4 linked regions of the Arabidopsis thaliana genome follow. The protein of the gene in region 4 binds, or shares a complex with, the protein of the main gene of each other region. Each region holds a gene or a part of one and is shown on either strand. Other genes may lie near its edges.

Region 1 (4,591 bases), about 21 Mb from region 4:
ATTATCACTAACTTTCAAGAGTTCTGTTTTTTCATTTATCTAGTTCCAAGGATATACTGATGCGGGTTGTGGCTGAAAATCTTCCTCCATCTGAGACTCTAGTGGAAACGGTAAGATTAAAAGATTAGTCTCCAGGGTCTTGTATTATTCAACCATCTTAGACTCTTATTTCCAGCTTAGTGATAGTTGCTCCTTTTTCCTGAATTTAACCATTTGTTCGTATTCATTAATGCATAGGTTATGACTCAGAATCCAGAATCTACGATAGTTGACACACCAATTGTTGAAGCTCTACACATCATGCACGAGGGAAAATTCTTACACCTTCCCGTTACTGACAAAGGTGAGAATTCTGAAACCTTTTCAATTGTAAAGTCTTACAAAAACTAAAAAGGCAAACGCATGTAAACCATAAATGGGTTTCTGATTGCAGAAGGAGATGTAGTTGCTGTTGTCGATGTAATCCATGTCACTCACGCTGCTGTTGCCACAGTAACTCCCATCTCTTGAACCGTCTGTAAATTTTTTCGTTTAGAACATCCACTGTTCTCTTTTTTCTAGATACATGTTTCAATCTTGTAGTTATTTTGATGTGTTCAGGCTGGAACTACTGCGGGAATAGGTAATGAGGCGACAAACACAATGATGCAAAAGTTTTGGGATTCAGCTATGGCATTGTCTCCTAATGAGGACGATGAGGACTCGAGAAGGTTATTAGCTAGTCTTACTTGTTCCACTATTTATCGAGTTTCTTTTCAAAGAAAGCTTTGGTTTTGCTGACTTTGTTGACAACATGGGGAACAATTTGTTTCAGTGAGAGCTCCATGAAGGTTGCTTCCGAAGCTGAGACAGGAAAATCTTTCCCTTTTGCAAATACATTTTCTTTCAAAATTGAAGACAAAAAGCACAGGAAACACAGATTCATAAGCGGTAAAAATAATTTTGATTTTTATTCATCAAGTAAATAGTTGTAGTCTTGCTTTTACTTAACTGAATTGGTTCTTTTTGCAGACACTCGGAGTTTGACAGAGGTGATAACCGCGATCATTCAGAGGGTAGGGGATGATATCGATCCAGATAACTTCCCCCAAATTTTGGTAAATATTTTCTTTTACATAAAGACTATGATGCAATCATTATCTAATTCTTCTCTTGTCACCCCCTGAATTGTTAAAATGATGGTTATAATGTGCAGTATGAAGATGAAGACCACGATAAAGTGTTGTTGGCTTCAGATAGTGACCTTCAAGCAGCCATAGAGCATGCAAAATCAATTGGCTGGAAGGTAAAAAGAACGATTTCCTCCTGCTTTAAACTTTTGGTTGATAAGCAACAAGAACCAAAGTCGAAGATGAAACCTTCATGAGATTGCCCATAAACCCCTTTTGCTTTCTGAATTGATTTGATCATTATAAATTGCAGAGTCTGAGATTACATTTGGATGATTCAAGAGAAGGCAAAGGAAGAAGAAGGAGAAGAGCATCAGGATCAGCAGAATCAATGGAGTATGTAGAGACAGACGCTTGGGCTGCTGCTTATAGTGGAGTTGCGGCTGGTGCAGCATTAGTAGCTGGTCTTGGTTTTATGGCTTTTCTCAGAAAATTCGGTCATTGATTCCTCAGAAACACTACAAGAAGTGTTTCTTTAACAGATCAATACAAACAAAAAAGAAAAACAGACACAGGGTTTGAAGGTTTTGTCTGAAATATTTTTATATACAAAAGTCATTTTTGATTATTTTTTTGGCTTCATGATATCAAAATAACAAATATCTAAAACTAATACATGGAGTAATTCAAGAACAAGGCTTAGAATCTTTGTCTAAACTGATCTCACTATTGTCAAAAAAATAAAACTCAAACAGAACAAGGGCTTTGCCATGTAGAGATATCTGCTATAAGTTCCCGAAGTTTATCTATAAGTTCTTTAACATGAACATTCTTCTTTGCAATCTCCTGCATGAACAAAAGCTTCCGTTTATTAATGCCAACAGAGAAGAACAATATAATCACTTCCCATAAGGTTATTAACATAGAAATCAAAATGACCAGATGGCTGAAATGTATTCAAAAAATTATCAACATTTCCATGGTTCTAGAACCGCTTAAGCTATAATGATACAAACACTTACACTAGACAGTGGGAAAGAACACTTTATACAAGAAAATATGAATCAAATTCAATGCTATGTGAGTTGAAATGTACAGAGAATTCGAGACTGAATAGTGTATCAATGTAGTAACATCAGATTGAAAACAAAGAGATGTAGAAATTGCAGAAAGCTTTACCATTCTGAGACTTAAGGCTTGCTCCTCCAATTTTTCGATCTCGTCTTCACTTTCAGGAGATCCTAAACCATTTTGCATTTCAGATGCTTTTGCCTGTAATAGATGAACAAATTCAAATTTATGAAACCTCAAAAAAGCTCTCATTTAAAATTAAGCAAGTTCACTACAAGTGAAGAACAAGACACTCAACAAGCATTAGATCCTTCATCTAAACTCTCTATCGATTCGAAGATTTCCTAATCTAAGATCTCAAAACACCCTAGGAATTCAAAATTTCCTCAGTCCAGAAACAACTCAGAACAAAACACTTCTCGAAATAGTTAGTAACATCACATTATGTTCAATACCTTCTGCGAATTTGGAATCGCAGCAAGAACAGCACGAAGCGAAGTCACTGAGTTCTTATACCGAAGACTCGCCTCATCCAAAACACTATTTCCACTTCCTCCGCCCCCGCCACCACCAGCAGATTCCGAATGATGCGATGTTCCATCAATCGCAGCCGCATCGGCGGAAACGAGAGCCGAACCATTAGAACCCGTCGTCGTCGCGGCGGAACTCGGGGTAGCTGAAGTAGACCACAAAGACGGATTACAAAGCTCATCATTCATGGCTGAAATTATCTGAAACGCCGCTTCAATAGTTTCTTCCAATTGCTTCTCTCCTTCCATCGCTAGCTCCTGTGTCGTCATCGTCGTCGTCGTCGAGACCTGTTTCTGCAGCATCACCGTGAACACACTTTATCACGGCGTCGGTTGACTAAACTATTAATACGATGTCGTTTTAATCAAACTATATAATATATATATCAATAATATAGTTTTTATAGATAAATAAAAATAGAAAGAAATCAGCTACATCGCTGTCTACCTTATCCACTATTACTCCAATCCATATGACAAAAACTATCTAAAACGTTAGTTTGATCTTTTGATCCAATCACAAGGCAAAGATCCAATGGACAATAACAACAACAACAACAACCAGCAACCACCACCAACCTCCGTCTATCCACCTGGCTCCGCCGTCACAACCGTAATCCCTCCTCCACCATCTGGATCTGCATCAATAGTCACCGGAGGAGGAGCGACATACCACCACCTCCTCCAGCAACAACAGCAACAGCTTCAAATGTTCTGGACATACCAGAGACAAGAGATCGAACAGGTAAACGATTTCAAAAACCATCAGCTCCCTCTAGCTCGTATCAAAAAAATCATGAAAGCTGATGAAGATGTGCGTATGATCTCCGCCGAAGCACCGATTCTCTTCGCGAAAGCTTGTGAGCTTTTCATTCTCGAACTTACGATTAGATCTTGGCTTCACGCTGAAGAGAACAAACGTCGTACGCTTCAGAAAAACGATATCGCTGCTGCGATTACTAGAACCGATATCTTCGATTTCCTTGTTGATATTGTTCCTAGGGAAGAGATCAAGGAAGAGGAAGATGCAGCATCGGCTCTTGGTGGAGGAGGTATGGTTGCTCCCGCCGCGAGCGGTGTTCCTTATTATTATCCACCGATGGGACAACCGGCGGTTCCTGGAGGGATGATGATTGGAAGACCGGCGATGGATCCTAGCGGTGTTTATGCTCAGCCTCCTTCTCAGGCATGGCAAAGCGTTTGGCAGAATTCAGCTGGTGGTGGTGATGATGTGTCTTATGGAAGTGGAGGAAGTAGCGGCCATGGTAATCTCGATAGCCAAGGGTAAGTGAATTCTAGTAATATTCAGCAATGTAGCTTGTTGCAATTGATTATCTATGGTTATTGAGATTCTTCATGAGCTTGCTTTGATTAGTCTTAGAGGAATTTGCTGCTCTGTGTCATCTTCATTGATTCTCATCAAATAAGCTAAAAATTGATAATATCAAAGAAGCTCAATTTACAGTATCATCTGGCTCATTTCTTTAGATTCATAAACAAAACTTTGTAAAATACACAATTTTGATATCCATTATTTGATTTGACTCACACCTTTGATTATTTGTACAATGTTGTGCAGTTGAGCTATGGAACCAGAAGCTTAGAGATTTAATCATCATTTCGACCCTGCAAGTGTCTGATTCTTATATGTCTATGATTCGAATGACTTACTCGAGAGAGAGAGAGAGATCAAACAAAACAAAACAAAAAAGCTCTTTTTCATTTTTCCTGTTAACTTATAAGTTATTGCAGCAAAACTGCAGACTTGCTTAACTATATATTAATCTAAATGTGCAGATTCTAATCTATGCTTTGTATTTTTGTTGATTCTTGCTCCTAATCTAGTAATGATCAGAGCTTATGTATGGCATATTGAGTTTG
Region 2 (9,192 bases), on a different chromosome or scaffold from region 4:
TTCCCTAAATTAAAAAAGTGGGAAATTTTAAAAATCAACTTTTCAGTTTTTATATATAATCAAATTTGCATCTTTGCTTTTAAAGATCCCACTTAATGGTGCATTACTCTCAAGTCTAAGCTTAGGAGGATTAAAAAAATTAGAGAAAAAGTTCAGTGCTGGCATTTTCTTTGATTTCTATCGGTCTCTCATCTTTTAAGAAAAGGGACTTTGGTTATTTTGTTCTCATGATGATTCGATGGAGAAAATCTACGGGTGCGATGAATCGTATCATGGCTTGAAATTGGTACAAAGTTTTACCATATTTATGTGCCACGTGAAAGGGACCCTCCACCTCAAAGTTACTCACCTCGATTCGAACAATGACTCAATGAGTGAGCTCTAGCTAGAGTGGAAATCGAAGAGAAGTCATGTTTGTTGTCTTTGATTTCCAAAAAGCACTGTCGATTTCGAATTAGTGCGCGTCATAGTTACTACGTCTTATCAAAATATTAATAATTATGCTTTTGTTTCTAGACAACAACTTATCAAATAGTTTTGGTGGTCAAGCTATAATTTATTTCTAAATTTCAAGGATGTTATGATAACAGTATTTGTTCCAAATTATACTTATGACTTTATCGGAACTAAAACAAAAGATGATCTGTTCCAAAAGAGAAAAATAAGAAAACAGCTACAACAACATGAGAAGCATTTTTGTGTAAGGTTTACGGGTTTCTATTTTCTTGGTTTTCAAAATGAAATTTGATTTATGATGATAATTTAAACTTAAAAGATTTAAAAAATCCTAGTTTGTCAATGATGTAATTTTGAGCAAGTAATTCTCTGATGCAATATGCAGTTGGAAATGGTATATTTAGATAAGTTTGTTTAACTATCAACCATAAACCTTTTCTAATAGAAATGTATATTTCTTACCTGCAAATAAAACACAAAGTCCAATCATGACCCAACTATGAAATGGGTTTGATCCTTTATTTCCTTGTCAATCAAATAAAAAGCTAGATAACAAGTTATTATCAGCATATAGAAACACCAACAAAATAGAAATCATCCACTTTTTTTCTATTTATCTTAAGAAAATGACAAAATAGTTTGGTGCCGTAGCTAAATGGTCAGACCCATACAGAATAGGACATGCCATTTTCAGGCTCAAAAGAACAGAAAGGACAACTAAACAGAGTCTAAAACCATGGCGACGATCGAGTTGACCAAAGAAGAAAGAAAGAATGTTAAGTTATGATAAATCTAATTAATTAGCACTGAAGCTGATATTTTTATTTATCCCATGAAGCCAGCTCCAGGCATGTTAGGCTGCCCTCCACCACCACCTTGTTGTGATCTTCCAGGGGCTTGTGCAAAAGCTTGACCACCCATTACCATCTGTTGAGGCTGCTGTTGCTGCTGCATCTGATTCAGAGGCGAAGTCTGTTGCTGCATCTGATTGAGCGGCGAAGTCTGCTGCTGCATCTGATTCAGCGGCGACGCCTGCTGCTGCTGCTGATGATGGTGTTGAAGCTGTGTCAATTGATGCTGCTGCTGTTGTTGCTGCTGTTGTTGTTGTTGCTGCTGATGATGTTGGAGCTGTGACAATTGATGCTGCTGTTGCTGTTGCTGCTGGTGTTGTTGTTGTTGTTGCTGGAGTTGTGGCATCTGTTGCTGTTGGAGGTGTTGTTGTTGTTGCTGCTGCTGCTGGATCTGCTGTTGTTGTTGTTGTTGCTGGTGGAGTTGTTGTTGCTGCTGCTGTTGCTGATTTGGAATTTGTGGTTTAAACACAACCATATCCTAGGAGTAAACAAAACAACCCTCAAGAGTCACTAATGTGAAGCAAAACATATATAGACACCTTAAACTTAGTACTTCCTTACCCCTGGGAAAAGCATTCCAATCAAGCGGCAAGCCTTGTCAGAGACAGAGAGAAGAAGCGTCTGTGATGGCAACTGGATGACTGCACACTGCAATACGGAGGATGACAAAGTTATCATATACAACTCCACAAAAGCTAAGCGTGAAAATGACAATAGTATGGCACACGATTAGGCTAATCAAAACAAGGCTACATACAAGCGTAGGCATCGTTAAGTGTATGGTGAACATAGCAAGAGATTGATAGATTCACCGAGAACATGTTTACAGATGTAAGTACATATATTTTTTCAAAGATTTTCATTCTTAACATCTAATTCATCCTAATATCTAATAAACCAGTAAACACCATTCATCATTTTGTTATTAAATTTGTAGTGAAACAATAAGGAAAAGGAGACAAGTGGCATAAATTATCAACAATACTCACAAGCTTTTTATCCTGAAGTTGTCCTAAGAACCCATGTTGACTCATGGCCCGAAACACAAGGAAGTCAGCTTTGCCAACATATTGCCTGATGCAAAGTCAGGTGAAATATTTAGTGGCATGAAATCAACATCCACCCATGAGCCATTTGGAATAAGGAAGGATATAGCACGAAGATATTACTTGTTATTCATATGGTCCTGGGATATGAGACGAACAATCTGCATAGTTGGTGGCCAGTTTGCTGCCAACCTGGGGAGATGCACAAAAAGAGAAAGCAAAAATTAGTTTAGCAGCTACAATCATTTCTTAAGGAGTCGACTGCTCTCCTGACAAGGTTTAGTAAGGAAGCAGTTTTCATATTTCAATTAGTTATAAACTTACGAATCAGAGGCAGAAGCACTTCGGTAACCCTGTCAAATATAAACAAAGACGTTAGTTAATATCTACTTGGAACAATTCAACAAAGTTCTACAGAGGAAGATGTGCTTAAGCATGTGATCCCAGTAAATTCAGAAAAGGGGAAAGAAAAGTGCATAGTAAGTGCCCCTAAACACACCTCAAGTCTGGTGATAAGAACAGGCTGCCCTTGCCTTTGCCCAGATAAATTTCCCTGCATGAATTTGAAAATGTAAGTAAAAGTTAGCACAAGATCACCGTTATTTTAGACAAGATAAACTGACATTACCTCCCAGACTTTCACATATTTGGATTGTGAAGTCTGCATAGCCCCCGATGATGGCTGTGATAGCTGCATATTAGGAGCTGAGCTGTTACTGCCACCAAGTTGTTGTATTCCTGATTGCGCTTGTTGGCCAACTCCTGGAGTAGGCATCATTCCACCTGTTCCAGAGGAGACATTTCCTTGACCAAGACCACTCATCATGTTTTGGTTCATGGAAATTCCACCTTGCATCATTGCTCCAGAATGACTTCCTTGGTTCATCCCTTGCATTGGTTGTGAAACACCAAGGTTTGAAGCGACATTTGACGTTGTTTGAGGACTAAAGGCATTATTAGGACCCGGGCTTTGTCCCGTTTGTGCAGATCCCATTAGTGCACCCGAACCAGCCATTGAAGTAATTCCCTGCTGTCCAGTTGAAAACACAGTTTGTGAAGGAGGCAAAGATGTAGCCATTCCTGTTGATATCATATTTGACATATGCATTGCAACCGCACTTTGCCCAACCGATGAGGCTGCACCTGCCAGAGCTGCAGAGCTCATGACTTGTCGGACTTGAGAAAGATTATTAAGCAGATTTACATTGGCTCCACCAGGAGGACCAGTACGCAATGGTGGCGTCATTCCACTGACCACCACAGGCTTAATATCTGGTGCATTCTCGGCGTTGCTGACCATATCCTGAGAAACTGGTGATGCTGAAGATGTTTGAATCGAAGGAATTGCTTGTGTAGCAGGCCGAGCTACAGCCGGGATATGGGGAAAACTAGGAACTGGTGCCATAGAAGTTACGGTGCTAGGCTCCTGCAATTTCATTCCAAAAATCTGATTAACAGGCTTCTACTAATGTGAAGATATGCTATCTAATAAGCTGATTGAGTATACAATATTATTTCACAAATGGGATATTCATATGAACTTAACATTAAATCTAGTTGATTAACACATAAAAATTTGTAATGTCTTATCAAGCACCAGAGAATAAATTTACAATTCATTTTCGGCTAATATCTAGTAAATAATTCTTATAAAACATACAAGAGTCGGTTGCCAATAGATAGAGCTGACTCCTCCAACTGACTAAAAAGATCAAATAGACTTACAACTTTCACAGTAGCAGTTGGAACTGGTCCAACAGAAACTGGTTGCCGATTCTGAATAGGTCCATTGGCTGAAAATCATACAAAAAGAGATCTTCATATAGAGAAGCAGGATAGAATCCAAAGAAGCACAAAGAAAAATCAAGATAGTTGGACTAAGAAAAATGGATGTTGTCAGTAGAAGAACCTGATGACACAGGAGCTGGAGGTTGCCCAGTGACTGGAATAGATGGAGCAACAGTGGCCCTGTCCACTTTCACAGGGCTCTGAGTCTGTGGCAAATTTGTAGCAGAATGACTTAAGGCAGCACATGCCTCCACAAAATTCTCCGAGATCAGGACAAGATAGAATGTGTTCTTAGCCGTGTCAATTGACAAGTCCGCACTTTGTTGATTGGGCTTTCCCTGCATTTAAAACAGTATAAAACAAAGATTACACCAGTTTATAGCATTGAGAATAAAGACAGCCTTTGAAAGAGCTGTCTGACAAAAGAAAGACTTTTGATAGATGTACATCTAGTGAATAGCAAATAGACACGCAGTCTCACCGCATTGTATAGTGCTCTAATTGTTGGAAGCTGCTTTGGACATACAACAGACAAAGAAACAGAACACTGCACACCAATATGGCAGGTTAGTAATTTCCCATTAAAAGGAGTAATTATAGCTAGTTGTAATACCTGGGGGAATCAGTTAAAAAAAGTACCTTAGCAAAATATGAAGCCACTGTCTCAGCATCTGATAATCGACTCTCAGCTTGCGCATCACCATTCTCATTCCGTTCCACATTTTGCAATCGTGGACGATATACAGGTGTTGGCAATATGTGAGGATTGCTGGCTGTGATTAGGATACAGTGTCTTTTCAGATCGTTACTTGGTTGAGCTTGGCCTGAAGGAGGAGAAAACATCTGTGTCATGAAGTCAGAGAAAATTGTGAGGTTTAAGGATCGAGAAAATCGCTGACAGAAGCACCACCACATAAAATGAAGCCATGGAAAGAAAAAAGTTAATTTTATTGAGAAAGTAAATTAGTCAAAAGTAGCTTGAAAGAAAGTGGCCCAAACATATGTCTTATAGTTGTGTCACAGATGAAAAGAGATCAAGTTTCCCACCATCAATGCTTCGGCAAGCCCTTCAGCTGTGGCAACCTCATTGAAACCACCACCACCAAATTGTATGGAAGAAAGCCAATGCAAGAAAATATCAACATCCCTTGTCCAGCCACTCCGTTGTACCAAGCAAGCTAAGAAGAATGAAAGATAAGAACAACATTACTAAAACAAAAGCTAATGTAACCAGGGCCATGAGAAAGCACCCAAATAATATTTGTATTTGGATATCACAAGATGAAGCACAACACGTACCACAATATGAACCATGAGAATTGAAGATCACCAGTGATAGCTCAACAGTAGAAACAGGGTTCCTCTGCAAGTTTAGTGAATATATAAAGACTCGATCAGACACATCAAACTACCAATTTGCTCTGTTATTTTTTGTGTCGCAATGATTTGACAGATAACGAATGTATATGAGTTTGGTCAAAAACATTGATTAACTGTTTGCTCAAGAATGAAAACTTGAGTAAACTTAAAAACGAGGATAAGTCAGATATAGTACCTCTCCATTTAACTCACTGCCACAGAAAGACCTGGACAAATGCAAAGAATGCATAGACAGATTATGTAATTGAAATTTTAACATACAAAAACGCTACTTTGAAATACAATACTATGTTGAGTGGATATTAAGAATAGCCAACAATGTGATTAGTTACAAACTATACAGGCAATTATATACTAAATTCTCTGTAATCACATATTAATATCAATTTTACGTGATCGAAGTGAGAAACTACAAATTCATTGCTTTATGAATGCGTTGTATCGAAAACAATGTCCTAACACAAAAAAAGAATGTAGGAACCATAAGGTAACGTAAAGTGATTGCTCAATATGAAACACAGAACAATCAAATACATAAACACAGTACTAACAACGAACAACAAAACATTGTGGAATCAGAGGATAAACAAAGGTTTGATCTAACCAATTGAAATTAAAGCCTGATTCGAACGGTATCAGCTAAACCCTAACTCCGAATGAAAATCAAATAACGAGGATTAAAAGAGATACAAGGTTCATAAAAAGAAAAACCTGATGATTTTCTCGAGATAGTCGGAGACGATGGTTTGCCAATAAGGACCCAAAGCGGCGGTGCCTTCAGCAACGACGATCAGCTGTTTCACCTCCGACGACATAGTCTCTGAGCGTTGTTGTTACGTGAATCAAAAGAAAATTCAGTCTCTCTCCCCTTGGAATTTGGTGATTCTTCTCGAGCCTAACGATTCGCCGACGGTAATTTCTTTGGAAATTTTTATTGAAGCTCGTTCTTTGTAAATTGTAAGTTTCCTTCTTCTCCGGGAGAGGAGAAGATAAATTAGATTGACAAAATTTGGTTTGGATGCTCCGAATAGAAAATGGGATATACAAAGGACTTGGTCGTTACTATCTTTTTATTTGTGTAAATTGGGCAATGAATTTAATTTTATTTTTTTTGGTGAAGAAGTGAATTTAATTTGATTAGATTGTTTACCATCTGTGGGATAAATGCAGAGAATCTTGTGAAGAATATAATTGGTTTGGAGGTGGTTCATCGAACGCCAAAACTAACAACAAGCTTAAGGTCGATCACGTAAAAAAAAATGAAAGTAACCAATTTGATATCTTATTTTGGGCTATGTGGATAAACATTTTGTATACATAGTTGTAGTTAGTCCAGACTTGAATCAAATAAAGGCCATGATAACCATTGTGAAGGCCATTTAAGATTGGTCCAAAAGTTGGACATGGGCCGCATGGCCTTTTTATCTGTGTTTTTTTCTTTTCAGAGTGGCCTAGTGGAAAATAGGATCCAATTTCGTATGTCAGTCATCTTAGACTAGTTGATGTCAATGACTTTTTGTGGAAGAGATGAGTCATAGAAGACGGCTACAAAGCTATAGATTTTGCTGATCCCGATCGTTGTTCATATGGTAGTATTGGTAGTACTAAGGGAGGGGCAACACATTGTAAATTGCCATGCAATGCTATGGAAACGTGAGTTTGTGAGAAGTCATGAGAACCCAAAATCAACTACTTTTCACGTGGTAGTTTTTTTTTATCTAATACAATGTTGGTGGTCTTCACATCCATGGACATTATCCATAAGACCATAACTCAAAGAAACCATCACAAATGAATAATTATCATCTTCCTTAAATTGCTTCTCACTGTTTACGACCTCTCGAACAATTTGACTTTACCACAACTCAATCCATCACCTAGTTATAAGCTTTTACAATTGTCCTTAAAAATCCAAATTTAATTATTGATACACAATAGTTTCTACAGTTTGGTAACCGTAGCAGACAGTACAAAAACCTCAATCTCCAAACTATTTAGAGAAATTTTCTCAAGAATACATACTCAAAATTAGACACTTAATTCCGTTTTATAGTGTGTGTTTTTTTGTGTGTGTTTTTGTCGCCAACCAATTTAGAATCGTCAGGTATTCACGAGAATTGCTTGAATATATCACAACACAACAACACACAATGAAGCGCGTGAAAAGAGGCGAGTAGGTTGGTGTGATATGGGGCAGGTGGCTCTTCGATAGCGTGAAGGGCCAAAATTTAACAATTCATGAGGAAACGGGGGGATCTGGATATGTGTGAATGTCACTCTTCCAAAGATTCTCTCCTTCCCAATTTTTTCCAATTTAATATGTTTTTTTCCAGCTTAGTTTCTCCCCTACTCTCGAGGAATATTCCTCCACTTTTGCCAAAAACTTCTTTATCTTTTTCTTTTCTGATAAAAATGTAATTTATGATATGATACCATATAATATATTCTAAACTGTAAATTTAATGAATGTTTAAAATTTTCTGGTTACATATCTTGATTCCAATCTCTATGGATATTCTTCTTCACTCGTTTGTTATTACAAAAAAATTCATGTGTATATTTCTAAAATAGGTAGAGAATAACCGAAGAAAAAAGAAAGAGTTAGTAATGACTAAAATGACTCGTCGTTCTTATCTCAACGTCAACGTCATGAGAATGCTGACATCATCGCCAGCTCGATAGAATATGGAAAGGAAGGAATCCACATATCCCCGAATATTCTCCCTGTATCAAACAAACCTCAGCCTATTCCTATATTTACCATTCTACCCTTTCCCAAGTAAAATCCGAATAAATCTAAACATCAAGAAGATTCGGTTTTAGGTACGCGACGGCCCGACCTCGATTAGACACCAATCCTCTTTCTCTGCCCTTTAAAACTTCCAACTTAAAAACGTCAAAGTTTTATCCTTTCTCTCTCATTTTAGATCCAAAACTCTTCTCTGTCTCTCTCAAGATTTATGTTTTCGTAACTGTAACTCATAGCAAAAACGAGTCTAAGATCTGTTCATAATGATGATGTTCAAGAGCGGTGACATGGATTACACCCAGAAAATGAAGAGATGTCACGAATATGTAGAAGCTCTAGAAGAAGAACAAAAAAAGATTCAAGTCTTTCAACGTGAGCTCCCTTTATGTTTAGAACTTGTAACCCAAGGTAATGTTATTACACATCCTCTTTTGATATATATATTCTTCGTTTTCACGATCGCTTCCAGTTTCTTAATTGTTTACATATCATTCTTGTAGCTATCGAGTCATGTCGGAAGGAGTTATCGGAATCTTCAGAACATGTTGGCGGCCAGTCAGAATGTTCTGAGCGGACAACTAGTGAATGCGGCGGTGCCGTGTTTGAAGAGTTTATGCCAATCAAGTGGAGTTCTGCTTCATCTGATGAAACCGATAAAGATGAAGAAGCTGAGAAAACTGAGATGATGACCAATGAAAATAACGATGGTGATAAGAAGAAATCGGATTGGCTTAGATCTGTTCAATTGTGGAACCAATCACCAGATCCACAACCTAATAATAAGAAACCGATGGTAATTGAAGTCAAACGCAGCGCTGGTGCGTTTCAACCGTTTCAAAAGGAGAAACCTAAGGCTGCAGATTCTCAACCACTTATTAAAGCAATTACTCCGACGTCGACGACGACAACTAGTTCCACGGCG
Region 3 (9,103 bases), on a different chromosome or scaffold from region 4:
TCGTACATGGTTGGGTATGGTTCGAGGTTTCCACAGAAGATTCATCATCGTGGCAGCTCGGTTCCTTCAGTTGTGGACCATCCTGATCGTATAGGGTGCAAAGACGGATCTCGTTATTTCTTCAGCAATAATCCTAATCCTAATTTGCTAATTGGCGCCGTCGTTGGTGGGCCTAATATCACCGACGATTTTCCTGATTCGAGACCTTACTTTCAGCTGACTGAGCCCACTACTTATATCAACGCACCTCTTTTGGGCCTACTTGGTTATTTCTCGGCCCATTATTGATTTCACACCTCGAACTCGAACGAAGCATGAAAGTCTATTTTTGTTGTGAAACATTTTTAGTTGATTGTTACCGATTAGTAGATTCACTAGATTCTCTAAATCTACGAACAAATAATTGTATAAATTAATCGAGTACACAATAATCAATTTTTAATCATATGGGAGTTAGGAAAAACAAAGAGTAATAATGAGAGAAAGGGGGAGACAAGAGTAATTAATATTTTGATGACCAAACTAATCAAAAATCAGGAATTTGTCTTTTGGACTTTGGTCGGCTGCTTTACGCTTAACACAAAAGAACGCTATTTTGTCTCCTCCACGCAATTACCTCTTCTCACTCTCAGACATTTTGTCAAACAGATGGTGCTCGTTTCTGAATCAGCTTAAGAACTAACAAGGAGACAGACACTAAGCTTGGTTTTTCTCTCCGATTAGACGGAGGAAAAAGTGAAAACGAGGGGCTTAGACGAGTGATGTGATAGAGATGGAAGGAGTTGAGCTAGAATTAGAAAGAAGAAGCAAGTTCTTGAACAGTTTGATACAGAAGAAGAAGGCTAAAGAACAGCAAGATCAGAAAGATGAGTTCAATGTTCGTGTTAGGGCTTCAGATATGCCTTTGCCTCAACAGAACAGAGCCTTTAGTTTGTCGCGTGAGATTTTGAATGCTACTCCAGGGAAGGCTGATAACAAAAGACTCGCTCATGCCCTAAAAAAGGTTAGATCTTTTGTATCTCTCTCATGATTTTTCTGTATTTGGGTTGAATTGGAGTCATTGAAGTCTAGTACTTGGATTGAGTTTTGAATTTTGACACAGAATCTAAAAGTATTGAGCTGCTTTTGGGTTCTAGGGCTACGTCTCAAAGTCGCATGCTTTTTGTAGAATGTGGTTATGGTCTTCTCTTTCTTGATTGGTTTGAAGATGTGATGAATCTTGAATTTGGATTTTCGTTTGTGTACTTGCATATTGTTGAACTTCATGGATGGTCCCATATTTGTTAGGTTGCATTTGACTTTGTTCCATTGTTGTTGTCTTTTCTATTTGTAGCTTCGGTTAGTCTACTTGACTAGGTTGTTTTTGTATTGCGAGGATAACTGTAGTAGGAGTCTCGTTGTGAAATGTCTTGAAACTGGATGTTCTTGTTGTTTATTGAGATGATTTTGGAGCTGTCTTAGGCCATAACTAATGAGGCATAGCATGCACCATCTGCTAAGCTTCTGTATCTTTGCTGTTAGAAATTAGTTGCTACCTAATGATAACTCTGAAGCATGCTTGCTTTAGGAAGTGAGCCTTGCCTGAATACAACCTTTTACAAAGGACTTGGTTCGACACCCCATATATAGAGTTGTCCATTTATGCAGTTGTTTCTCGTGAGGATATTGTTCCTTCTTAAAGCGGCTTTGATAATTAGCTTTTGATTTTAACTTATGGAGCGAAATGGAGCAGTTCCCTCAATTTATGCGACTAGGTAGAGGCATTGATTGATCCATACATTGATTTTATGAAGTGGTTGAGTAAAACAATTTAGTGTTCACTTATCTGTGTGCAGCTTACTTGTTTGTCTCAGTGTTCATCAATCTCTTAATAATGGCTACCTCCCTTTGGCTTTTAGGATTGACATACGAGTCAATTTCTGCTGTTGTCTTGTTTTATCTTCTTGTTCTGGTAATATAGATCTCTTATCTCGAAATAGATCTTCATATGTTTCTTGTCTCTATGTTTTCTCCTAAATCCAGCTTCTATGTTATCCACTGAAGTGAATCTTAGACTCCCATCTGTCTAATGACATGTTGCAGCTGATTTAAAACTATATATTCACGAAACAGTTTTCCATCTGTCTTCCATTTCAGGACTTCGATTCAGCCTACGGCCCGGCATGGCACTGCATTGTTGGAACAAGCTTTGGTTCATACGTGACTCATTCCACAGGAGGATTCCTATATTTTCAGATCGACAAAGTTTACGTTCTTCTCTTCAAGACTGCCGTGGAGCCGTTAGATCAAAAATGAGATAAAACGTTGATGATCAGAGCATCTTCAATTTAATCCTTTTCTTTTAGAATTCTCTGTCTTGTATCCCACAATGTAATTCTGCCTAAGACAAAATCTTTGTGGCTCCTATTGTGTAATTAGAAGTCATCTTCTCTACTGTGAATCGTTTCAACTTCACAATGCAAAATATTGTTCTTCTCTTTCTCAAATTCTAATTTTGTTTTTTTCGTTGTTGTGTTGTTGTTGTTGTTGACATTTTCTTCTCTTCAAAAGAGCTTTAAACCCAAAACCTCTAATACCAATTTTGCTCCTCCGTTTTATAAGCATCAAAGAAAAAAAGAATCAGTGAAGAAGAAAAAAAAATGGATCAATCGCAGCGAACAGTCGCTGCAACGCCATCGTCTTCTCGATCGTACCAATTCCACCCAGCTCGTGCTGCAATTATCGATCTTTTCAATCTCTACTTAGGGGTTGGTTAATCTCTTCTCCAATCTCCCAATTTTTTTCATCGAATTTTGTTTCTCTGCTGATTTTGCTTTCTCTATCACAGAGAGGAAGCCGTCAAAAGCCTGATGAGTCCCTCCGAGATCCCCCGTATGTTGTTTCTATTGATTCTGAATCAACTCTTGTTTTCTCTTCCTTCTGTGTTTGATTTTATCCATGTTGATTGTTTTGATCAGGAACAAATCACAGAAGCGTGTTCATGCTCCTAATAGAGACTTACCACCAAGAAACGAGCAATTCCTTTTGGATTTTGAGCTGCTTCAGAGCCAATTCAATGTAAAGTCTCGTTTTTTAACTATCTTTATCTTTCTCTTTGTGATTTCGTAAGATAAAGTTTTTTTTTTTTTTCCAACTCTTTGTTAGGATCCAGAGCAATTGAGGACGATTACTGAGTCAGTTTTGATATCTCTGGTGGTGCAATGTAGCAATCATGCGCCTCGTGCTGAGTTTCTACTCTTTGCTTTGCGTACATTGTGTAGGATTAGTTATATCAATTGGGATACTTTTTTACCATCCCTTCTCTCTTCCGTTTCCGCTGCTGAGGCGTCGTTAAGCCAAGGTGTTCAAGCAGCAGCGGCAACGGCTGGTTCTTCTGCTACTTCTTCGCAGTCTGTAGTTCCTGTGTCTGTGAATCCAACGTCATTGCTGCCTTCAGCTCATGGTATTGGTTCTCCATCAGCTTCAGAGGTGAAATCTGTGGAGAATGGGCAGCAGATTGCAAGAGCTGGCCAGATTGTAAGAGAGAATGCTATGAGAAATAGTCAACGGATTAGAGCTGCTGCTGTAAACAGTCTGCGTCAGCTCAGTTGCAAGATTATCTTGATTGGCGTTGAATCTAGTCTCAAACCCGTTACTCATGCCGAGATTTTCCAGTACATGATGAATTGGCTTGTTAACTGGGACAGGAGAGATCTGGGAACTGAGGACTCTGTAGGAAAGTCGTGGAGATCTGAGAAGACTTTAGCTGAATGGTTGCGGAGTTGTTTGGATGTGATCTGGCTGTTGGTAGAAGAGGGTGAATCTCGAATTCCGTTTTATGAGTTATTGCGCAGTGGTCTACAGTTTATAGAGAACATACCTGATGATGAAGCCTTGTTCACTCTTATCATGGAGATACACCGGAGGCGAGATGCGATGGCCATGCATATGCTCATGTTGGACCAACATCTTCACTGTCCATCATTTGGTACCCATCGTATAGTCTCCCAAATAACTGCCAATGTTCCACCCGAAGCTGTGCCACACTTACGACATTCACCAATTACATATCCAAGTGTGCTTGGGGAACCTTTATATGGAGAGGTGATTCCTATGAAATTGTGGAGATTGGTTTCATAGCTTAGTTGGCTCTTGTTGATATTGTGTAATGTATACGCTTTTCATTAGGCAGACAATTTGTGAATTTCAATCCTCTCTTCTTCTTTTTCGACACCGGCAGGATCTGGCGATGTCTATTCCAAAAGGAAGCCTGGATTGGGAGAGAGCAGTGCGTTGCATTAGACATGCTATTCGCACTACACCGTCACCGGACTGGTGGAAGCGTGTTCTTGTTGTGGCCCCTTGTTATAGACCATCTACACAAGCAGGGCCTATCCCTGGTGCTGTATTCACTTCTGACATGATTTGTGAGGCAATCATTGACAGAATTGTTGAGCTTCTTAAGCTGACCAACTCAGGCAATGTTTGTCTTTCCCTATTTCTCATGTCTTTGATCTGTCACTTCCATTTAAATCTGTGGAAATTATTTTGAAATAGCAAGTGGTTTTGCTAGTCGTCACAATCTGTAAAGAACCTACATCCTTTACGTTTTATTCTAGTTCTATAATCGTTGATTCGTTAGGCTTAGATAGAAAAGATAAAAGTAAGAGTTGAGATACCATTATACTAGGATTGCTTTGGTATTGATTTGGTATCTGTTACTTTTCCCCCTCTCTATGCAGATGCAAATTGCTGGCAAGAGTGGCTGGTTTTCTCGGATATATTCTTCTTTCTAATCAAAAGTGGGTGTACTGATTTTGTTGATTTCATTGACAAGTTGGTTTTACGCCTTAACGGTGTTGATAACCATATTCTTCGGACGAATCATGTGACTTGGCTGCTTGCACAAATAATACGCGTGGAGCTTGTGATGACTGCTTTGAACTCAGATGCTAAAAAGGTCGTTACTCAATTACAATGATATGTTTGCAGCTGCAATGCAATTACTTGTACTTCTTTTTCGGCGAATTTAACATCCCAATTTGTGCTCTATTTGGGTTTTCTCTCAGGTGGAGACTACTAGGAAGATCTTATCATTTCACAGGGAAGACAGAAATTCTGATCCCAACAATCCTCAGAGTGTGTTGCTTGACTTCGTAAGCAGTTGTCAGAATCTACGGATTTGGTCACTAAGCACAACAACTAGGGCATACCTAAACAATGAACAGCTGTTGAAGGGAAAACAGATCGATGAGTGGTGGAGAAGCAAAGGTACATAAGGTTTCAATGGCAGGGCTTAGACTAGGAAGCAGAGAATCCCGATTATAAAAAGCATCCTCTCATTCTGTTTCTTGTTTGGGGTTGTCAGGAGAGCGGATGATGGATTATATGAATATGGATGATAGGTCGATTGGCATGTTTTGGGTTGTTTCCTACACCATGGCACAACCAGCATGTGAAACAGTTATAAATTGGCTATCTTCAGCTGGCATGGCTGAGTTACCGGGATTACAGCCAAACGACCGAGTAATGATGACGCAGGAAGTTACCCCGTTACCTATGTCATTGCTATCTGGCTTTTCAATGAATTTGTGCTTGAAATTGGCCCTTCAGATGGAAGAAGCTTTGTTTGTTAGCCAGGTTTGTTTCCTTTGTCTCACAAAGATATTATATATGTTAATTGATACACTGATCTATGAAGAACATCTTCTTTGGTCATTTTTACTTAGTGACCTATTTTCTCCACGGTTTAGTAAAACAACTTTAGCGTTTTACTTGTTTAAAAATGTTAATAGTAGATTTTAAAAAACCTGAGAAAAATGAATTTAGTGTCGTAGTAAAACATCTGAGTGCAGGTTGTTCCTAGCATTGCAATGGTTGAGACATACACAAGATTGCTTCTGATTTCCCCTCATTCGATGTTCCGTTCACATTTCAGTGTAAGCTATTTGGTTCCTTCTGTTACCTTTTGACTTTCATTATCTTATGTTTTATTGATCATAAGCGATTCATAAGATTAGCTAACTTTCTGTAGCAATTGGCCCAGCGAAATGCTTCTCTGCTAAGCAAGCCTGGAGTGACGTTACTTGTTCTTGAGATTCTGAACTATCGGTTGCTGCCACTCTACAGGTAAAACGAGCGAAAAGTTCTCAAGTTGGAGTAGATCCTTCTTTATGTTTTAACTGGGTCATTCTTTTAGTTAGATGACAATTGTTTCGGGCTTTCGCCATATTGGCTGTTAGACCCGACTAAACAAAATTACTGATCTTATTGCAGATACCAAGGAAAGAGTAAAACTTTAATGTATGATGTTACTAAAATAATATCTGCATTGAAAGGAAAACGTGGTGACCACCGTATATTCAGACTAGCTGAAAACTTATGCATGAATCTCATTTTATCACTCAGAGACTTTTTCTCTGTGAAACGGGAGGGAAAAGTAAGTGGTGTTTTCGAATTACTCACTGTCCCCCTTCTTATTTTGTGCCTGGATCTCAGGTGTAAATAATTGTTCTTATGTTATCATCACTAGGGGCCAACTGAATTCACTGAGACGTTAAATCGCATAACCATCATGACTCTTGCTATCACTATCAAAACACGTGGTATCGCAGACCCTGATCACATGGTTTATCTGCAAACCATGTTGGAACAAATACTCGCGACGAGTCAGCATACATGGTCAGAGAAGACGATGCGGCATTTCCCATCCCTTCTCCGTGAAACTTTGAAAGGACGGGTAGACAAGAGGGGCCTATCAATTCAGGCATGGCAACAGGCTGAAACAACTGTGATAAACCAGTGCACTCAACTTCTCTCACCATCTGCTGAACCCGCTTACGTTTCAACATACCTCAGTCACAGTTTTCCTCAACACCGTCAGTATCTATGTGCTGGTGCTTGTCTGCTGATGCAAGGCCACGCTGAAAACATCAACAGCACAAATCTGGTTTGCTTTGCTTAGTCTATTCATAATTGTGAAATGATTGTTTGTTGATAGTGGTATGATTTTCTCTTCCAAATGATTATCAGGCACGAGTTCTGAGAGAAGTTTCTCCTGAAGAAGTCACTGCTAACATATACACTTTGGTCGATGTTTTGCTTCACCACGTTCATGTAGACCTTCAGCAAGGACAATCTCTAGAGGTTTCTGTCTGCCAGAAGAGATTAACCTCACTTTTCGTTGCTTGATCCATCTTCTTACATTGCATCGTAATATTTTTTAGGCAGTTCTAGACAAGGCAGGCGCAAATCTTGCATTTTTCTTCTGGACACATGAAATGCTTCCTCTCGACATTTTTCTTTTGGCGCTCATTGACCGTGATGATGATCCTCACGCCTTGATAATTGCAGTATGTTCATGCTTTTACGTAAAAGAAGCTTAACATCATAGAAATTTTACAGTGTTGTTTTCAATTTATTTACAGATGAGCCTACTTAAAACGCCAGACCTTCTGCTGAGGATAAAAAACTACTGCCAAAACCGTGGGTCTCCTGAGCACTGGCTTGTCACACAGGTGTTCAAACGCAATGAACTCCAGAAGGCCCTGGGTAACCATCTTTCTTGGAAGGACAGGTAATATATCCAATTCAACATCAGTGTAACTGATTTCTAACAACAATTTCACTTAAGTACATGGCTTTGATTGTTTGATTGGTTTTGTTGGCATCCAACCATAAATGTGTGATGGAACCTTCCATGAAAACTTGTGTATGACTAGGAAATAGTTGAATTTTGGTTTGATCTGTTTTAATTTTGGTGTTGGATTCTGCTAAAGTTGGGTAAATGTTTTACCTATTTTTTTATTGTGTTAAACGCAGGTATCCAACGTTCTTTGATGATATTGCAGCGCGTTTGCTTCCAGTTATCCCTCTAGTGCTTTACAGGCTCATCGAGAACAATGCGATGGAGCAAGCTGATAATCTTTTGCTTGCACACTCGCATTTTCTAGCGTATCATCCTCTCAGATTCACGTTTGTCCGTGATATACTAGCCTATTTCTATGGCCATCTTCCTGGGAAACTTGTTCTGCGCATGCTCAAAGTACTTGATCTCAGCAAGGTAATTGAAAACAATTCCCGATCTTACATTGATTCTGAAATTGACCTCAAGTTGATGCCGCTTTTGGATTTTAGTTTAGAGATTTTGTTTCTCACCAATTTATCTAGATACCTTTGTCCGTAATCGTTTCCACATTCGATTAAAATGGAACGTAACAAATCTTTTGACATTTCCGCAGATTCCATTCTCTGAATCATTCCCGCAGTACATTAGCCCTACCGGTGCACCTGTATGCCCACCTCTAGATTACTTTGCCTCTCTTCTGCTTAATCTCGTAAACAATGTTATACCTCCACTTAGCAGCAGCAGCAACTGCAGCTCGAGGTCTGGCTCAATGGCAGACATCTTAAACAGCTCAGCAAGACCTCCTCATGGAAAAACTCCAGGAACATCTCAGCCTGGACCAGCAAACGCCTCTGAGGGCCAGAAAGCATTCTATCAGATCCAGGACCCAGGAACTTACACGCAACTGGTTCTTGAGACAGCCGTGATCGAGATCCTCTCGCTTCCTGTCTCTGCTGCTCAGATTGTCTCTTCGCTTGTCCAGATAATTGTCAACATACAATCGACTCTGATTCAATCTGGAAACGGGTTCCACGGCGCTGCCAACGGGGTGGGACAAGGGTCGGTACTGCCAACGTCTCCCTCTGGAGGGAGCACAGACTCCATGAGCGCTAGCCGGTCCACTTGTCTGATTCCTGGTATCAACACAGCGAGCTTTGTCTCTAGAAGCGGTTATACATGTCAGCAACTGTCGTGTCTGTTGATTCAAGCTTGTGGACTTCTGTTGGCTCAGCTCCCTCCAGATTTTCACGTACAGCTTTACTTGGAGGCAGCACGTGTGACAAGGGAAACATGGTGGCTTAAGGACGGGAAGAGATCACAAGGTGAACTAGACTCAGCTGTTGGATACGCTTTGATGGATCCTACATGGGCTGCTCAGGATAACACCTCGACCGCCATAGGTACGCTATAGTTTCTGGATCTAGAAGTGAAATGTTTGTTTGGATTTTGTTTTTACATGTGTCTTCTTCCAGGAAATATTGTCGCCTTGCTTCATGC
Region 4 (6,436 bases):
ATAGGTTTTCCCATCTCAATGATTCTCTTTTTACAGCTTTTGTTAGACTAATAAAATGCTATTCAAACCAATTTTATTCAATATCGTAAGCATGAAATAGCCTGTAATAATCTTACATCTTTCACATCCAACTCTGTAATAGACTAGCTTTATAGTTCTTTCAATTTAACAATGATGTTCATTCTTGTTTTTTTTTTTTTTCATTTGGCATTAACAATGATGTTCATTTATCATTATCAAGATATTCACACACACCACACGAATTCCACCAGCTTCATATTCAAAAACAAGGGTTCCAAAAGATAATTATGCGTGTTATCGATACACTATTAAATCAAGAAAACCGAGAAGCAGTAGTTACTATTTTCAAAGACTCGTTGTTCAACACTCTTCAATCTCATCCCACCACATAGAACACATAAGTTACAATCACGGCATATAACGTACGATATAGTGTATATCATCAGTGTAAGAAAAAAAGTAAATAAATATGTTTTTTGTGTTTGCACAAATGAGTTTTATTCAGACAAAAATTCACAAAAACTTGTAAAAGCAAAAATTTATCTATTGTGCAATGGATTAGGACCTGTGAAGACCCTTCTCTTGCCATCTTCAAAAACATCTTCACCACCACCTTCATAATTAGTATATTTTGATCCTCTTGATGACGCAGCATTGGAGTCAAGATCATGAAGCTTTGGATCCAAATTTCCAGATTTCTTCAAGCTTCCATGAGTTGAGTGATGATGTATATTAGGAGAAGACGATGAAGCTTTAGCGTAAAGAAACAGAAACAAAAGAAGAAGAAGGATGATCAAGGCAACTGTAGTGATGTGTTTCCTAGATTTTCTTCTAGAGTAGTAATTTCCCATCTCTTAGGAATCTTCAAGATATGAAGAGTTTCTCTATAAGGTATAGATTATATATTTAGAATCGATTTTTGCAAGTATAAAAGATCTGATCAAGATCTCTTAAATAAATTCTCTCTCAAAGTCTGTAAGAATGAGAAGAGAGGAATGAAAGTGATGGAAGAAAAAGCTATGGGGCTTTTAACCTATGACTTCCTCTAAAAGTTTGTTGCTCTCCCTTTCTTATTCTCCACCACTTTCTACAAATAAAGAGAAGAGAAACTAGATAGAGGTTTGTAAATATATATATCATTAATTTTTAACGAAAGTTTTTTTTGTGTGTTGAATCATTTCCAAAGGTCTTAGCTGGGATTACTAGGTCAAGTGGTAGTAATTAGTGTGGTTAATAATATACTTATAGTGGTTAGTTTTAGAGAGTAATGAGGGTGTGATAATAAAGCATATAGAGGAAGGTAATTATGTGAAGGGGGTCAAAAGTAGAAAGAAATAGAAAAGAGAGAAGAAGGGGCCAAAAAGGGAATTGGAGTGATGATTCTAAGACTTAGCTTTCTTTGGGGAAAATGATGTTGTCTTCACTCCCTTTTTCTTCACCCACATTTACACTCACTCACACACATGAAAAAATCCACTTACCACTTGAATCTTCTTCCTCTCCATTTTATATAAATGTTGTATATCTATATTTGCTTCTCGTTTTTTAGTCTTTCTAAGATTACTTTTTTTTTTTTAATTTTACTTTATTATGAGTTAAGAAAGAGAATAAAGAAAACAGTATCACAAGAACTAAATTACATACATGATACATATATGGATATGATTCTCCAATATGCATCTTCTACCTTCGATAAACGTATTTACAACTTGTGCAACAAATGTTTTTAAGAAATCAAGCTGAAAGTTTATAGAAGAAAAAACAAAGACTTACGTCCAATATTTGTCAAGAAACACCATATGTGATATGTACCTCAATATATCCTCATCAGTCATCACGTTTTTATATATTATATTCCCATTTATTTTACAGCAGACAAATCATCATTTACATAGTAGAGAGCAGGTATACAAACTCAAATCCCCAAAAATACCATTATTCCATTTTGTTCTCGTCAAGCACTTTGTCTCTGATGTTATATCAGCAAATATACACGTATGTATTCATCGTATGTTTCATCTTAAATTGTAGAAGATATTGTTAGGCATGTCTCGATCGGATTAGACCTGTCCGACCAACCCAAAACACTGAAAACTTACATTATTTATGTTTTGATAATTTTCGGTCTTATAATGGTTTTTTAGAATAACAATTCATGTTTTTCACTCAAGTAAATAAAAAATATAGAAAGAGATAACAATCTAAATCGGATATAAATAGTCGTGGATATTTTTGTTTGGATAAGAGTACCACCGGTTAAAGAGAGATTCATTACTCGGTTCGAATACGGTTTAGCTAATGGAAGATCCTTGATTTGTCTGGTTAAGTGGGCCGTGTTGAAGGAGCGCGTGAAGCCCACGCGGAGCCCTTGAATAATAATAAAAAAAGGCTGACTGTAATTTGTTGATTATATTGAGAGAGAAGCCAACGGAAGAAAACAGAGAATAATTCCTCTCTCATTGGTCATCAGACACAAAAGACTCTCAAACCCTAACTAGTCTCGCTTTTTCGCTCTCTCGAACCTTCTTCGATCTCTGTCCTTTCTCGATCACTTGCTAAAATCAAAATTTTAGGCGGGAATTCGATACCCAAGCCCAAGACCCAAACACTTCCCCCCTCACGTTTCGCTGCTTTCGTTAGCTAGCTTTCTCAAACGAGATCTGGGCTTGTCGAAAGAAACGTGTATGTTGATTGTTTCGATTCTTTCTCCTACCAATTGAATCTGAGATTTTGGTTTTGCTATTGGGCTCTGTCTTGTTTCGTTTTCGAATTCCAAATTCCTCAATTTCGAATTTCTCTTCTGCTTGAAGCTTTTTTATCGAGTCTAATCTTCGTTTCTAGTGATTACTTCGCTTGTCTGATTTTTTTTTTGTTAGCTTCATTCCTAAATAGAACAAATTGATGAAACTTTCTTGTTGACTAGATCCAAAATGTATGGACTTGGTATCTAATTTTACTTTTACAAACTTCCGAAAACTTTCTAGGGTTTTGTTTCTGATGCTAGTTTCATTTTTTTTGAGCTTGGAGCAGAAAAGTTGAGAATTGATAGCATCTAATGCTAAATTAGATTTTCTTACTTCTTAGTTTTGGTCACTATGAAATATGAGCTGGTGCTTAGTTATAACTTTTGTATTGTTTGTGCTACAGAATTGTTAGTTTAGATAGTATCGAAGCTGAATTTGCTTTCTGTAGTAGTATTATTTCCTTATCACTCTATGCTTTTTCTGATTTTTGTTTCCTTGTGTAGGATATATATGCAGTGAGCCAGTGATCATGCAAAAGAAATTCAGAGTGCGATAGAGAAGATGGAGCCTGAACGTTTAAAATTTGGAGGTACATTGGTTTCGAATTTGGAGCTTCTTCAGTTCGTGAAGTTATTTTTTTTGTAGCTCGTTGTCCTTTGTTTTCCCCTTTGGCTCACCTTGAGGTCAATGTGTTGTTTGTTTCAAGTGCAGGTCCAAGAGAGTTGTGCGGTGCTGCGGATCTTATATCTCAATTCAAACTAGTGCAACACCATGAATTCTTTTGCAAGAAATCTCTTCCTGTTTCTTTATCAGATTCCCATTATCTTCATAATGTGGTTGGGGACACAGAGATCAGAAAAGGAGAAGGAATGCAATTAGATCAGCTTATTGAGAGCATATCACAGAGCCGGGAGACTAATATTCGCATCCAGCCTTTTGATATAGATGAGCTTCAGGAGTCTTTCCAACTAAATGATATGACTCCTGTTGAATTACCCCCAGTAAGAATCTGATCTTTCTCACTCTCTCTTGGTGTTTTGAGTTTTAAATGTCCTTCTTTTCATAAGAGTAACAGTATTTGCCATTACATTGAACTTAAAAACTGGCTCAGTAATGAATGTCCTATTTCCTGTAACATCAAGTTCTTTGGTTAATTGAGAATCTTTCCCTAGTAATGTGAATTACATCTGGGTGTCCTATGGAGATGATTGACCTTGGTACTATTCTTCTTTCAGGCAGAGAAGGGAGCTCCTACAATTCCGTCTAAGTCAAAAAGTGAGTCGAAAGATAGGGACAGGAAACATAAGAAACACAAGGACAGGGATAAAGACAAAGATAGAGAGCATAAGAAGCACAAGCACAAACATAAAGATAGAAGCAAAGATAAAGATAAAGACAAGGACCGAGACAGAAAGAAGGACAAAAATGGCCACCATGATTCGGGTGATCATTCTAAGAAACATCATGATAAGGTAAAGAACATGTCTGTTTGTTGAAGGTGTCTGTCTTTCCAAAGAAGAATAGCTTAATGGAAAGTTTTGTATTTGTTGCTCTTGAGTTAGGCTGCTTTTTTGACCTGCTTGGCATGAAATTAGCAGATCTAGAGACTGCTCTAGAACATTTTATTGAGTTTTTATGGAGCCTTTTCACTTATATTTCAGAAAAGGAAACACGATGGAGATGAAGATCTTAATGACGTTCAGAGGCACAAAAAAAACAAGGTAATGGTAATGAAGTGGGGCCTCAAATTTTTCTCGTTCTTCATTAACACTCAACATGAAATTTCCACCATAATGTTTTTTTTGCACAAAGGTGCTAGAGAACTAGTAATATGTCTTTGATAAATTGTATTGATTCAGCTCTTGATTGAACCTGTTGCAGCATAAAAGCTCAAAGCTTGATGAGGTGGGTGCAATAAGGGTTGCTGGCTAAAAAAGTTGTAGACATTCCAATTTTGTATTCTGCACTCGAGTAGGTGTCATGGAGACTTTAGAAGCACTTTTCAACTCACTGTAGACAGCTTATTAGGTAAGCATCTGTGTACTGTCCTGTCTCTTTTGTACAATTTTTTCGGTGTTCTTGGTATTCCGGGATCCTTCATAGAACATATACATCTGTTATAGTCCAGATACTATACTTTAGGGGAACTGAACCCATAATATTTTTAGGCAGATACTTGAGTTTTGTGTTGTATTCTTTAAGTTACTGAAATCCAAATAACGCAACATTTGCAAGGGAACATTGTATGTGTCTCTGTGCGACTTCTGTATTGGTATTGGATTCTTTTCTGGTCTTAAGAAAGTTGCCGTGATACATAACTAATGAAAATCGGGTAACCTGTCGAAAGAACATATCAAAGATAGGATGTGTTTCTAAATAGAACAGTCTCAGCTAACACAAATCATTGCTTACATTTTTGTTACTTTCTTATATTTTCAAGTTGTGTTGAACAAAATGATTGGCTTTGTAGGTTAAAAGCCCAAACTGGTGAATTCATTCCTTGAAGAAGAAAGGGGAAATTTGTGAAATGAAGAAGAAGAATTTAGTATCATAATTGATTTGGTGTCAGATTTGTAACATTTTTCTTGGGGTGTTCTATTCCATCTCTTTTCTGTCTATATACTCAATACAACACAAATCGTTACTATTCATGTATAATAATTTACTTACCAATTGATGTTGTTGAAAAAGTAACTGTCAAATCCACTTATTTACTTTTACTTGAGTGTCACAATGTCTATCTGTCTGCGACTATGCCTGTAAAAATTGATCAAATATCTGAACTATTTTCTCAAAAATATGTCGGATTATATGATTACATCTGTCGAAATCTCAAACACAAATTGTAACACTAGAAGCCATCCCCGAGAGTTCTCCATCATTTACTCTTTTCCATTCACCATCTATCATAAGGCAGCTTCTACTTTCCTCTTCATCATTCCACATCAGATTCTCTTCTGCTACAGTTTCAGTTTCCTCATATGCATGTTCTATTTCCATCTCAGCTTCTTCCTCGTATGATTCCAATGTCACATCATTTGATTCAGAATCTCCTGCACTCTTCCTTGCTCGCTTGCATGGCGATTTCTCCAATTGATTTCTATTACACTCAGCTCCTCTCTTCGCATTGTTGTTACCTTGTGCTTGTTTTGAGATGCTCTTAGCATTCTGATTGTCAAGAAGAGGTAAACGTCCAGAAGATCCAATGATCCGAGGCAACATACCAATTGGACAAGGGCTCCATGTTTTTGCCTTTCTCCATCTGTTACCGGTTTTGTCTGTGTCAATACCTTTCTTCTTTGAGAGTTGAAGTTTGACGAACTCAAGTCTCTTGCCTGCATTACCGAGATTCTTCTCTTGCTCAAGGAGCGTTGTACTAGCTGTTACAAGAGTAGAACTCTGTTTCAATGGAACAATTGCAGAGCTTTTATGCATAAGAGGAAGTTTTATGAGCTTCTCCTTTAAGACACGGCCTCCCACAATCTCTGCGAGTAGAAATGCTGATTTCAAAACCAGCTCATATCCTAAGGCTCCCAAGACAAGACATCTACGTATAAGTTCCATAAGGAAAATGCTTGGAGGTTTCACTTCTAGAGAACTGTTTCTCTGAAAATGCTTTGATCCATTGAGAAGACTCACAAGCCATGCAAACAAGAAAGGGACCTGCTCAA

Evidence for each region.
Region 1: MED19A (region 4) and AT5G63480 share a complex: the UniProt entries of both Arabidopsis thaliana proteins name them as parts of the mediator complex.
Region 2: MED19A (region 4) and PFT1 share a complex: the UniProt entries of both Arabidopsis thaliana proteins name them as parts of the mediator complex.
Region 3: MED19A (region 4) and AT1G23230 share a complex: the UniProt entries of both Arabidopsis thaliana proteins name them as parts of the mediator complex.

What each region holds. Positions count from the first base shown.
Region 1 is NC_003076.8:25,415,739-25,420,329, reverse strand, and holds AT5G63480 (mediator of RNA polymerase II transcription subunit), read right to left. Parts: upstream 3,082-4,591; 5' UTR 3,014-3,081; coding exon 2,636-3,013; intron 2,382-2,635; coding exon 2,289-2,381; intron 1,956-2,288; coding exon 1,857-1,955; 3' UTR 1,695-1,856; downstream 1-1,694. Other genes in the region: AT5G63490 (CBS / octicosapeptide/Phox/Bemp1 (PB1) domains-containing protein), read left to right, coding at 44-110, 238-343, 434-492, 601-710, 815-930, 1,012-1,097, 1,196-1,285, 1,423-1,614; NF-YC4 (nuclear factor Y, subunit C4), read left to right, coding at 3,246-3,998. UniProt on the Arabidopsis thaliana protein: Component of the Mediator complex, a coactivator involved in the regulated transcription of nearly all RNA polymerase II-dependent genes.
Region 2 is NC_003070.9:8,968,111-8,977,302, forward strand, and holds PFT1 (phytochrome and flowering time regulatory protein (PFT1)), read right to left. Parts: upstream 6,706-9,192; 5' UTR 6,337-6,705; coding exon 6,233-6,336; intron 5,728-6,232; coding exon 5,697-5,727; intron 5,505-5,696; coding exon 5,441-5,504; intron 5,320-5,440; coding exon 5,189-5,319; intron 4,985-5,188; coding exon 4,781-4,984; intron 4,689-4,780; coding exon 4,623-4,688; intron 4,480-4,622; coding exon 4,263-4,479; intron 4,147-4,262; coding exon 4,079-4,146; intron 3,780-4,078; coding exon 2,982-3,779; intron 2,907-2,981; coding exon 2,853-2,906; intron 2,707-2,852; coding exon 2,678-2,706; intron 2,546-2,677; coding exon 2,477-2,545; intron 2,382-2,476; coding exon 2,297-2,381; intron 1,956-2,296; coding exon 1,869-1,955; intron 1,786-1,868; coding exon 1,282-1,785; 3' UTR 955-1,281; downstream 1-954. Other genes in the region: AT1G25550 (myb-like transcription factor family protein), read left to right, coding at 8,534-8,678, 8,771-9,192. UniProt on the Arabidopsis thaliana protein: Component of the Mediator complex, a coactivator involved in the regulated transcription of nearly all RNA polymerase II-dependent genes.
Region 3 is NC_003070.9:8,241,842-8,250,944, forward strand, and holds the start of AT1G23230 (mediator of RNA polymerase II transcription subunit), read left to right. Parts: upstream 1-2,598; 5' UTR 2,599-2,639; coding exon 2,640-2,747; intron 2,748-2,827; coding exon 2,828-2,871; intron 2,872-2,957; coding exon 2,958-3,057; intron 3,058-3,144; coding exon 3,145-4,083; intron 4,084-4,219; coding exon 4,220-4,462; intron 4,463-4,669; coding exon 4,670-4,939; intron 4,940-5,048; coding exon 5,049-5,250; intron 5,251-5,347; coding exon 5,348-5,619; intron 5,620-5,834; coding exon 5,835-5,918; intron 5,919-6,013; coding exon 6,014-6,108; intron 6,109-6,255; coding exon 6,256-6,418; intron 6,419-6,511; coding exon 6,512-6,928; intron 6,929-7,011; coding exon 7,012-7,125; intron 7,126-7,205; coding exon 7,206-7,331; intron 7,332-7,406; coding exon 7,407-7,555; intron 7,556-7,800; coding exon 7,801-8,041; intron 8,042-8,219; coding exon 8,220-9,006; intron 9,007-9,078; coding exon 9,079-9,103. Other genes in the region: GH9B6 (glycosyl hydrolase 9B6), read left to right, coding at 1-288; AT1G23220 (Dynein light chain type 1 family protein), read left to right, coding at 773-1,003, 2,137-2,295. UniProt on the Arabidopsis thaliana protein: Component of the Mediator complex, a coactivator involved in the regulated transcription of nearly all RNA polymerase II-dependent genes.
Region 4 is NC_003076.8:3,952,176-3,958,611, reverse strand, and holds MED19A (mediator of RNA polymerase II transcription subunit 19a-like protein), read left to right. Parts: upstream 1-2,426; 5' UTR 2,427-2,703; intron 2,704-3,268; 5' UTR 3,269-3,326; coding exon 3,327-3,354; intron 3,355-3,476; coding exon 3,477-3,766; intron 3,767-4,000; coding exon 4,001-4,237; intron 4,238-4,426; coding exon 4,427-4,486; intron 4,487-4,646; coding exon 4,647-4,697; 3' UTR 4,698-4,793; intron 4,794-5,235; 3' UTR 5,236-5,472; downstream 5,473-6,436. Other genes in the region: AT5G12236 (uncharacterized protein), read right to left, coding at 330-464; CLE22 (CLAVATA3/ESR-RELATED 22), read right to left, coding at 561-872; AT5G12220 (las1-like family protein), read right to left, coding at 5,598-6,436. UniProt on the Arabidopsis thaliana protein: Component of the Mediator complex, a coactivator involved in the regulated transcription of nearly all RNA polymerase II-dependent genes.